Linked DNA regions of Caenorhabditis elegans. The protein of the gene in region 2 interacts with the protein of the main gene of each other region in a pairwise test. Each region holds a gene or a part of one and is shown on either strand. Other genes may lie near its edges.

Region 1 (4,456 bases), 6.7 Mb from region 2:
GAAACCCCTGTTCCAGATTCCAGCATAGTTTTAAAAATGCTATCGAGTTTCATTAATGTATCTTTTGAAGTTTTGAAAATAGTTCCGCCAACGTCTAGTTTAACAGTTTCACTCATTTTTGAAAAGTTTTTGAGAGGAAAAAGAGAGAAAAACGGAGTGAAATTGTGTTATCAGTGAGCCGATCGATTTTGAATTATCAGTGTTGCGAAATTTTGTTTTTTTTTTTACAAAAAAATCAAAAATGTTAAGAAATAAAAAAAAACTTCTGAATTGAAAATATTGTCAAAAAATCCACAAAATGAGTTAATTATCTCTTTCTCTGCTTCTCCAAATACAAATATTGACCAAACTCCCCAATCATTTTTTCTAATTTTTCCAAAAAAGTTGCATCCCGAATTATCCGTCCGCCTCGATTAATTCGAAGATTGTGCGGAAATTGACTATAATATCCATTCTCGGTAGATTTCCACTTTATCCTAGCTTTCCATTTTCGAGAAGGTTCGTCTTCACTCAATCGCTCTTAATCGATTACGGTAATCAGACCCTTTCACATTCAAACATAGTTTTGAATAATCCATCACATTTTATTAATGTCGGTCTTGAAGTTTTAAAAATAGTTCCGCCGATGTCTAGTTTAACAACCTTGTTCATATTTTAAAATAGTTACGGTTTGAGGCACAGATGCAACCAAACTCAAAAAATAAAAATAAGAATGTTTGTTATCAATCAGACTTTGAACTTATCCATGTGTTTTGTGTTTAAAGATAAAAAAACAAGCTTACTAAATTATAATTTTTTAAGCTTCTAAATTAGAAATATTGTCGAAAAATCCATAAAATAAGTTAATTATCTATTCCTCTGCTTCTTCAAATACTCATCAAACTCCCCGATCATTTTTTCCAATCGTTCCAAAAATGTTGCATCCCGTATTATCCGTCCACCTCGATTAATTCGAAGATTGTGTGGAAATTGACTGTAATATCCATTCTCAGTAGGTTTCCATTTTATCCTTGCTTTCCATTTGCGAGAAGGTTCGTCTTCACTCAATCGCTCTGAATTGACTATTTTATGAGGATAATGTACAAAAAACTTACGAAAATAAATATCGAACTGATGTGAATACTTTTCCATGAACTCGTAAAGATTAAAGTTATAGGGAATCGACATATCATTCCCAACCATGCAAAATTCAATTATGAGCATTGGCTGTAAAAATTATATGTAGAGCTGAAATTTTTTGAAGAAACTGGTTAATTATTTTATGATTGACAAACGCCATACAGTGTGGCCTTACTATTAGGACTACAGCTTGCACTGGCCTATAGTTTAAGCCACGTCCTAGCCAGGGACTGTGGCCGATAATACAGTCATGGATTGCTCCACTCTCCAATACAGACTGGGTGAACCTAGGGGATGAGTCTAAACTTGAAACCGCAACCTCTAGCTTTCTAGCAGCTACCACTACCGACTGAGATATTCCTATGAATTTGAAAAACTACATTATTTTATCGAAACTCACCTTCTGTTGAACAGCAAGAATTTGAAGAAATTGTTCATCGCTTTCAATAAATCGAAGTTTTATCTTTGGAGCTTCAACAAGCTCAATCTTTGAATTGCACAACTCAATGAGTCCGTCGAGCAAATAGAATTGAGCTTCTACTAGCAGCTCCTTCAGTTTCAATTCACAATTGGGTAGAACCACGTCGCCGTCTCGCATAAAGTTCAGTATCAAGTCGAAATTTTTCGGAGACCGATCAATAAAAATACTCCCAGATTCGTCAATTTTTAGCTGAAAATTTGAAAATTTATCGGGAAATTTTTGGAAAAATCGGACCCCAATGTCACTCTCCAACATAGTTTTGAAAAATCCATTGAACTTTGTTAATGTAGATCTTGAAGTTTTGAATATAGTTCCACCAACGTCCAATTTCACAGTTTCACTCATTTTCGAAGAGTTTTCTAGGGGAGAAAAAGAGAAAGATGGAGTAAAATTTTGTTATCAGTTATAAGATTATCGATCAGTACATATTTCAAAATGATTTTTTTTAACAAAAATTAAAATTTCCAACAACTAAAAAAGATAACATTTATTTCTTTTTTCAACAATAAAATAGCCTTTTAGTGCAGGCATGTAATACACAAACACTAAAACCAAAAAAATTATTGAAAAAACAAAAAACCATGATAAATCATATTTTTTAGTGTTTGCTCTTTGATCAATTTGGACCTTTTTTGTAGAATTAAGTTTATCACAGCACATTAAGACTAGACCATCCAACCAGTAGAATTGAGCTTCTGCCATCAATTCTCTCAGCTCTCTTTCATCTTCTGGCAGTGGCAGATCACCATCTCTCATTAAATTCAGAATCAATTCAAAGTGTTTCGGGGACCGATCTATGAAAATGCATCCGGTTTTTTCAATTTTCGGCTGGAAATTTTCACGTTTTTTTTTGGAAAAAAACAACGATTTTCATACCCCAGTTTTGCATTCCAACATAGTTTTGAAAAAGCTATGGAACTTTGTTAATGTATCTTTTGAAGTTTTGAATATAGTTCCGCCAACGTCTAGTTTAATAATTTCACTCATTTTTGGAGAGTTTTTGAAAAAAATTGTAGAGGAGAAAAAGAGGAAAGTGAAATGAAGGTTTGTTATCAGTGAGTCGATCGATTTGAAGTTATCAGTGTTTTCAATTGATTTTTTTCCATACTATAATAGGTTTACGTTCGGGTCTGTTCACATTTCTATGATAGCATAATACAATGAAAATTGCGTTTAATAGCCACTAAAATAGGTAGCATTTACTAGATTTTTCAACAATAAAATAGCTTTTTAGTGCAGGGATGTAATACACAAATACCAAAAAAATTAATGAAAAAACAAAAAAACGAGTATAACTATTATTTTTAGTTATTGGTTTTTGATTTTGAATCATTCGGAAGTTTATTATAGTGCTAAGTTTCACACCGCACTTATTGTACAGTCCAAACATCTGATAGTAATTTGCTTCCGCACACAACTCTCTCAATTCCTTCTCAGTTTCGGGCAACCACAGATTCCCATCTCTCATTAAGTTCAGAATTAACTCGAAGTGTTTCGGGGAACGATCAATAAAAATGCATCCGGATTTTTCGAGTTTCGGCTGAAAATGTTCAGGTTTTTGGAGAAATATAGTCAGCAACATTATACCGCAATATCACTTTCAAACATAGTTTTAAAAAAGCTATCGAGTTTCGTTAATGTATCTTTTGAAGTTTTGAATATAGTTCCACCAACGTCTAGTTTAATAATTTCGCACATTTTTTGGAGAGTTTTTAAAAAAATTGTGGGGAAGAGAAATGAAGAAAGTGAGATGAAGTTTTGTTATCAGTAAGTCTATCGATTTGCAATTAACAGCCATTTTTATATTTTTAACAAATTTTAGGAAATAGTGGCGGTGGAGTTTTTTTCAAGACATGTATAGAAAACTTTCCGATTTCCGCTTTTGCAAATTGTGCAAAATTTCTGAAGGAATTTTTATAAGAAAAAACGGATGACACATATTTTTGACATTTTTTCTCGTTTTCAGCAAGAATTCTAATATATTTTTTCTCATTTTTCATGTAAGATACGTGTAATTTTGCAGTTACAACTGAAATTTCAAAATTTCCAATAAAAAATGCAATACCTCAGTCGAAATTTTTCGGCAATTGAAGTTTTTGGCAGCTTCACAAAAAATTGAAAAATTTCCCATATTTTTTGAAACCAGCAGTTTCCGAAGATTCCAATTGCCAAAAATTTTCAAAACACTACAGTTTAAAATTGGGGTTATAACTTCATTTTTTTTTGTTTTTATAATCATACAGTGTGGGAAAGTTCTATAGGACCCCCCCTAATTTGAAGGTTTGAGGAACTTCCGAAAATTTTTTCGAAAAACTGCTAATGCCGTTCGTTTTTAAATTGAAAAAAACCTATATAAATTTTTTTCCAGAAGTTTATCTCAAAAACTGAGGTCGCGCTGGAAAAAACGTCAAAATCCAGTGTGAAACTTCTATAGGACCCCCCGTTTTTTTTCACGATTTTTACTAAAATCAACAGATTTTGGAATTTTTGACAAAGCTCAAATCAAGTTTGAGTTAGAAATGAGTTCATATAAGCAGTTTTGACTTTAAAAAATTAATACGAAATGTTCTCGTGGGATCTCCAGACTGGTTCTGATTCTTCCGATCTTTGATGTTCAAGTCTGTTTCAAGCTTCCTGGTGCTCTCGGTAATGCCAAAACTTGATAAACTCTCTTTAACAAGTTCCTACTAAAATTCCTAGCACGCACTTTAGATGTTTCGACTGTGTAGTCAAGCTGATTTGGCAAAATATGCAGCAGGAAACAATGGAAGGCTTATCAGGAATCAAATCGTTTTTCTTTGATTACAAGGTTCCATGGGACCAATATTTCAAGTTAAATTGTCCCTCACAGATGTT
Region 2 (4,582 bases):
GGCCAGATGATGACGTTGGAATCCCACGAACCACTCAGCATGTGAGTCGCTTTTTCGTTAATGTGAAGACAGCAAACTGAAATTATTCATTTTGCACTTTTGAATATTTTTTAAAGCAAAAATACCATTCTGTTTATGCTCATTGAAAATTGCATATGGTTCCGCCTGACTCGGGCCAAAAACTGCAATTGTTCCATCTCTTCGGCCAACAAAAAGTCTCCATCCGTCCGCTAGTTCAGCGTATGCAATGGAGTTCACAGTTATTCCTTTCGGTTGTTCAAAGGCGTGCGTTTTCGTATACTGTTTTCCTTTTTTTGCCCAAAATTTAACCGTCTCATCACGACCACCCGATATCAAGCATCCGCCTTGAGTAACTGCCAAAGCCTTTGTGTCGGATTTGTGGGCTTCAATAACATGGGAAATTGTGTACTGTGGCATCTGCAAAATAAATTCCACTTCAATTCGGCAAATTCTAAAACTCACACTTTCCGTTTCCATTGGCACGTCACCGAGACCGTCATCTGCCATTATCTGAAGAATAGCTTTTAATTAAAGTTAATCAACAAAAAAATATAACGAAATTGAGAAAAATCCGAAAAAGTTTTGATGACAAACTGCAAACGATGCTCCGAACTAACGCCACATGGAAGAGGATTTCTACGACCCCGCAGTAGGCAAATTTGCGGGAATTCAAAATTTAACACTGATAGGATGCAATTTTTTGGAGAAGGGCATTCAGATTCGCTTAAATAAATATTTGAAGTTTCACAGAACATCAAGACTTTGCAAAGAGTGTTAAAAATTCAATAATTAAAAATAAATAATACTTTTATCGGCAAACTTTTTTTAATTTAGTAGGTTTTTTGAGAGCGAAATTTACATCGCACTAGATAGTCTCGAAACAGGAGTGATACCTTTTTAATTCTTCAAAAAAAAAACAAGAAAGGAACCGAGTTTGATAGACAATTGATTTATTTTTGTCCTACGCAAGTATAAATGGGGAAACGGTGTTGGTTCATTATAAAACAACATAAAAACGCTAAAACAGCGATACCAATAGACTACAAACATTAAACGAAAGTTATTATTGCACACAACTAATCAATGAGTGGGGTGGATTCAAGAAGATTGATTATATTAAGGAATTATAGGTATATCACAATTATGACTCATGGCAACAATAAGGTTTAGTAAATTTTTTAAAGATAAAAATGCGATCTCAACTGGAAAAATGTGGATAAAACGTTGAGGGGCAGCAATTTCAGTCCTGGGAATCATGTAGACAGATTGCCGACCTGTCTGAAGATTGATTTACCGCTATCCGGAAGTCGTCCCATTCGCTGCAGAATGATGTACTCGTCGGCTGCTGGAAGTGTATCCTCCGTTGGCATTTCGTCGAATGGCCCAAGATACCGGGTTTGCGATCTGAAAATTTTAATATTTAAATTGAGCCTAAAAACAGCTAGAAAATCCAAACTCACTTGGCAAAGAACTCTCCAGGTGTCAGAAGACCACGGAAGAAGCGATTGAAGTCCTTTGGAATCGCACGAACTCCTGGCAATTGTGTCGGGGAGAGTGCTCGACGACGTGGCTGCCCATTGTCGATATTTCCTGCACGCATATTCTCTTGATTTATGCGATTTGCAGCGTCTTGTGCTGGTCTTCTGGCGTCATTGGCGTTCAATTGCCGCAATGGACGCCGCTCTGGAAGTCGAATCGGAGCCACACGGTTGACACGTGGCGGCGGTGTCCGTCTGATCGCTCTTCTGACGTCTGGTGATGGTTCACGTGGTGGCGGGCTTTGCGATCTTCTGCGGTCAAGCCTGAATAATCTTATTATAGAAACAATTATATAACATTTTGGGACAAACAATTCTCTCCATCCCTTTTCGCTGAGCTCCGAGGCTCTGGTCCATCCACTGGGGAAGATTTGGAATGGATCTGCAGGCGGGGGACACAGAATATCAGCTTCTACCTGAAAATATAAATATTGTAAACGAATTTTAATTCAAGAACTCACAGCACGCAACTGGTCCCAGCGATTTCCATGAAAATGCTCCATAATTAGTGTGTGAAATAGGTGAGAGGGAGAAAAAATGGGTCTGTGGAATGAATGACAAGCGAAAATTTAAATGAAAAAATCAGAATTTTCCCGCGCATAATTTTAATTTTCGACTGATACACTTTCATCGGTAAAATAGAGGCAGATCAATAAAATAAGTAGGTCGAAAATAATTGTTTTTGTTTTTTTTTAAACGCGCGCGCACAAATAGTTCAAACACGATGACGCAAAAATACACAGTTTCGCAGTTTTTTTAAATTTCTTTTGTTTTACAACACTCTTTTCTGAAAAATGTCAGATTTTGACGATTCTGATTCAGAATTTCAAGGATTTGAGCTAAGGTTTGTTTTATTTTAATAACTAATAATAATTCTAATATTAACTTTTACAGATCACCTCAGATCCATGTAAAAGAATTCTTGATAGTCGAAGAAGAAACTCCAAAAATCATCAAAAAGGAAGAGGTTCCAAGGAAGTTCGAATCCGAGTTTGTTGGCTCATTTCTGGGAGAAAGTCCAGTTGTACTTTCAAAAGAAACAGCGTTTGGAGAAGCTGGAGAGTCGGAAGTTCTGGATTGGGATGCCAGTACAGTTTTCAACAGCCTAGCTTGCCCTGAAAACAACCTGTGCGTTTTTTAAAAGTATACATTTTATAAAGAATTAAATTTGCCTTTTTCCAGAGAAAAGTCAGTATGCGTCATTCGTCTCCACGACGTCCTCACAAAATCCGAAATGGGAGTACACAAAATGAAGCGACAACTTATTCATTGCGGGTCGGTCTTGGAAATCAAACTTTTCATCAATTGTCAATTTTAAGACAGCTCCTTGATGAATATTCTCCTCAACAACGTCGTGATTTGGGCTTTGATGATTCTCAAAATGTGAAGAATCTTCTTCAAATGATCCGAGCGTTCCGGTCAACTGTTAAAATCATGCTGATCGACGTGGAGGATCTTCAGGACCAGATTACACAAGAAGCGCAAGATGAGACCCCAATTATATCCAAATTTTCGAAACTTTTATACGTTTCCGGTGCATTAGCCGTCATTCCTATTTGTTGGTTTATGTACCGCAGATTTTGTTAAGTTATCTTTTAAATCTTGAATAAAAATTTAAAAAAAACATATGTTTTATTAAAATTGCTCTTATTCGTAACTATGTACGGATTTATATATATTTTTTTAATTGTACAATTCGCTAAAATGACAGTAAACTACATTTGAAAATTTTATTTAAAAAGAAGCTAACGTCAGTAGCACACTTGTGTCCTGGCCACCTGTCTCTGTTGCCCTCCCATCCTTATCACAGATCACACTTCAAACATCAAACTTCTCAAGGCAGAACTCCTCCCAAATATCACCCGAATTTTTCTTCTCAAAACTTTTCGCCAGTCTCACAACCACGTGTTTCCCAGACCTTCAGTTAACTTCACTTCTCATTTTCCCTGATTTTCTGTCTGCGTCTCTATAAAAAGTAGACAAAAAATGCGAAAAAGAAACGTTTTTGTGTACTCAAGTTGTGACACACTCGCTCAGACTATTGGCTACTGATGGTTTTTAGTTTTTTTTTTGCTTTAGACAATTCTACCTCTAAAAATTAAGATTTTATAACAGTTTTCTAAATTTTTATTAGTTCAGTGAATTTATCATGATTTTTCTAGAGCCCCATCGGAATTAACATTGAAAATTTTACCCAGACGCGTTATTTTTGCAACTTTTGTACTAAAAATACAGAACCCGGTCTCGACACTGCAAAGTTTGTTAATTGAAAAAATATGTGTACCTTTAAAGAGTACTGTAGTTTTAAAATTTCGTTGCAGCAAAATTTTTATATTTTTTCTCGCATTAAACTTTAACTGTTTTTATTGTTTTGTTTTAGTTTTCTTGATAATATTTTGAAATACTTGAGATAATTGAAAAACTGTGAAAAAATCTATGAAAATCATACAGAAACGATAGTTTGAAATTACCGTACATTTTAAAAGCGCACTCCTCTTCGCGTTATTACGGGAACAATAAATCATGAGAATGCGTACTTGGTACCGTAATAAATAAAAAATTGTCGTGTCGATACCGGGTTTTATTATTTTCAGTAAATGAGACGTTCCCATCACTAAAACGTTTTATTTGTACGTTTCCGCTACTTTATTGTAAATAATATTGATAAGAAATCAAATACGCAACACGGAAATTGTTATCGAGTATCAACACACAATTATAATCTTTTCTACTTAATACCGATTCCTTGTTCCACAAATTTGACTTTCTGGTTTTTCCATCTTATAATCCTAAATATATTGTTTCTTTTTCCAAAATTAAAAAAATTTTCATTCAGATAAAATGCCGATTCTCTCAAAAATATGGGCGGCTCCAGCAGCTGGAATCTTGAGAAAAACTCCGAGAAATGCTCATCAAATGAGGCTAATCTCAATGACATCCTCGATGAAAGCAAAAGTCTTTAACTCTGCCGAAGAAGCCGTGAAGGATATTCCAGATAATGCAAAGCTTTTAGTTGGCGGTAA

Evidence for each region. Proteins that work in one complex are often made in the same cells at the same time.
Region 1: the proteins of C05C10.5 (region 2) and ZC239.15 interact in a two-hybrid assay, tested with the Caenorhabditis elegans proteins (one large-scale study listed by BioGRID).

The regions. Positions count from the first base shown.
Region 1 is NC_003280.10:3,222,699-3,227,154, forward strand, and holds ZC239.15 (BTB domain-containing protein), read right to left. Parts: upstream 2,034-4,456; 5' UTR 1,946-2,033; coding exon 1,835-1,945; intron 1,790-1,834; coding exon 1,520-1,789; intron 1,207-1,519; coding exon 1,095-1,206; intron 1,053-1,094; coding exon 847-1,052; 3' UTR 635-846; downstream 1-634. Other genes in the region: ZC239.13 (BTB domain-containing protein), read right to left, coding at 6-116; ZC239.16 (BTB domain-containing protein), read right to left, coding at 2,072-2,428, 2,477-2,587; ZC239.17 (Potassium channel tetramerization-type BTB domain-containing protein), read right to left, coding at 2,784-3,182.
Region 2 is NC_003280.10:9,936,707-9,941,288, reverse strand, and holds C05C10.5 (uncharacterized protein), read right to left. Parts: upstream 2,250-4,582; 5' UTR 2,063-2,249; coding exon 2,021-2,062; coding exon of another isoform or gene 2,017-2,020; intron 1,976-2,016; coding exon 1,872-1,975; intron 1,824-1,871; coding exon 1,482-1,823; intron 1,426-1,481; coding exon 1,275-1,425; 3' UTR 857-1,274; downstream 1-856. Other genes in the region: ufd-3 (Ubiquitin fusion degradation protein 3 homolog), read right to left, coding at 1-76, 126-438, 484-528; C05C10.7 (uncharacterized protein), read left to right, coding at 2,354-2,403, 2,454-2,687, 2,742-2,834, 2,879-3,146; C05C10.3 (putative succinyl-CoA:3-ketoacid coenzyme A transferase, mitochondrial), read left to right, coding at 4,401-4,578.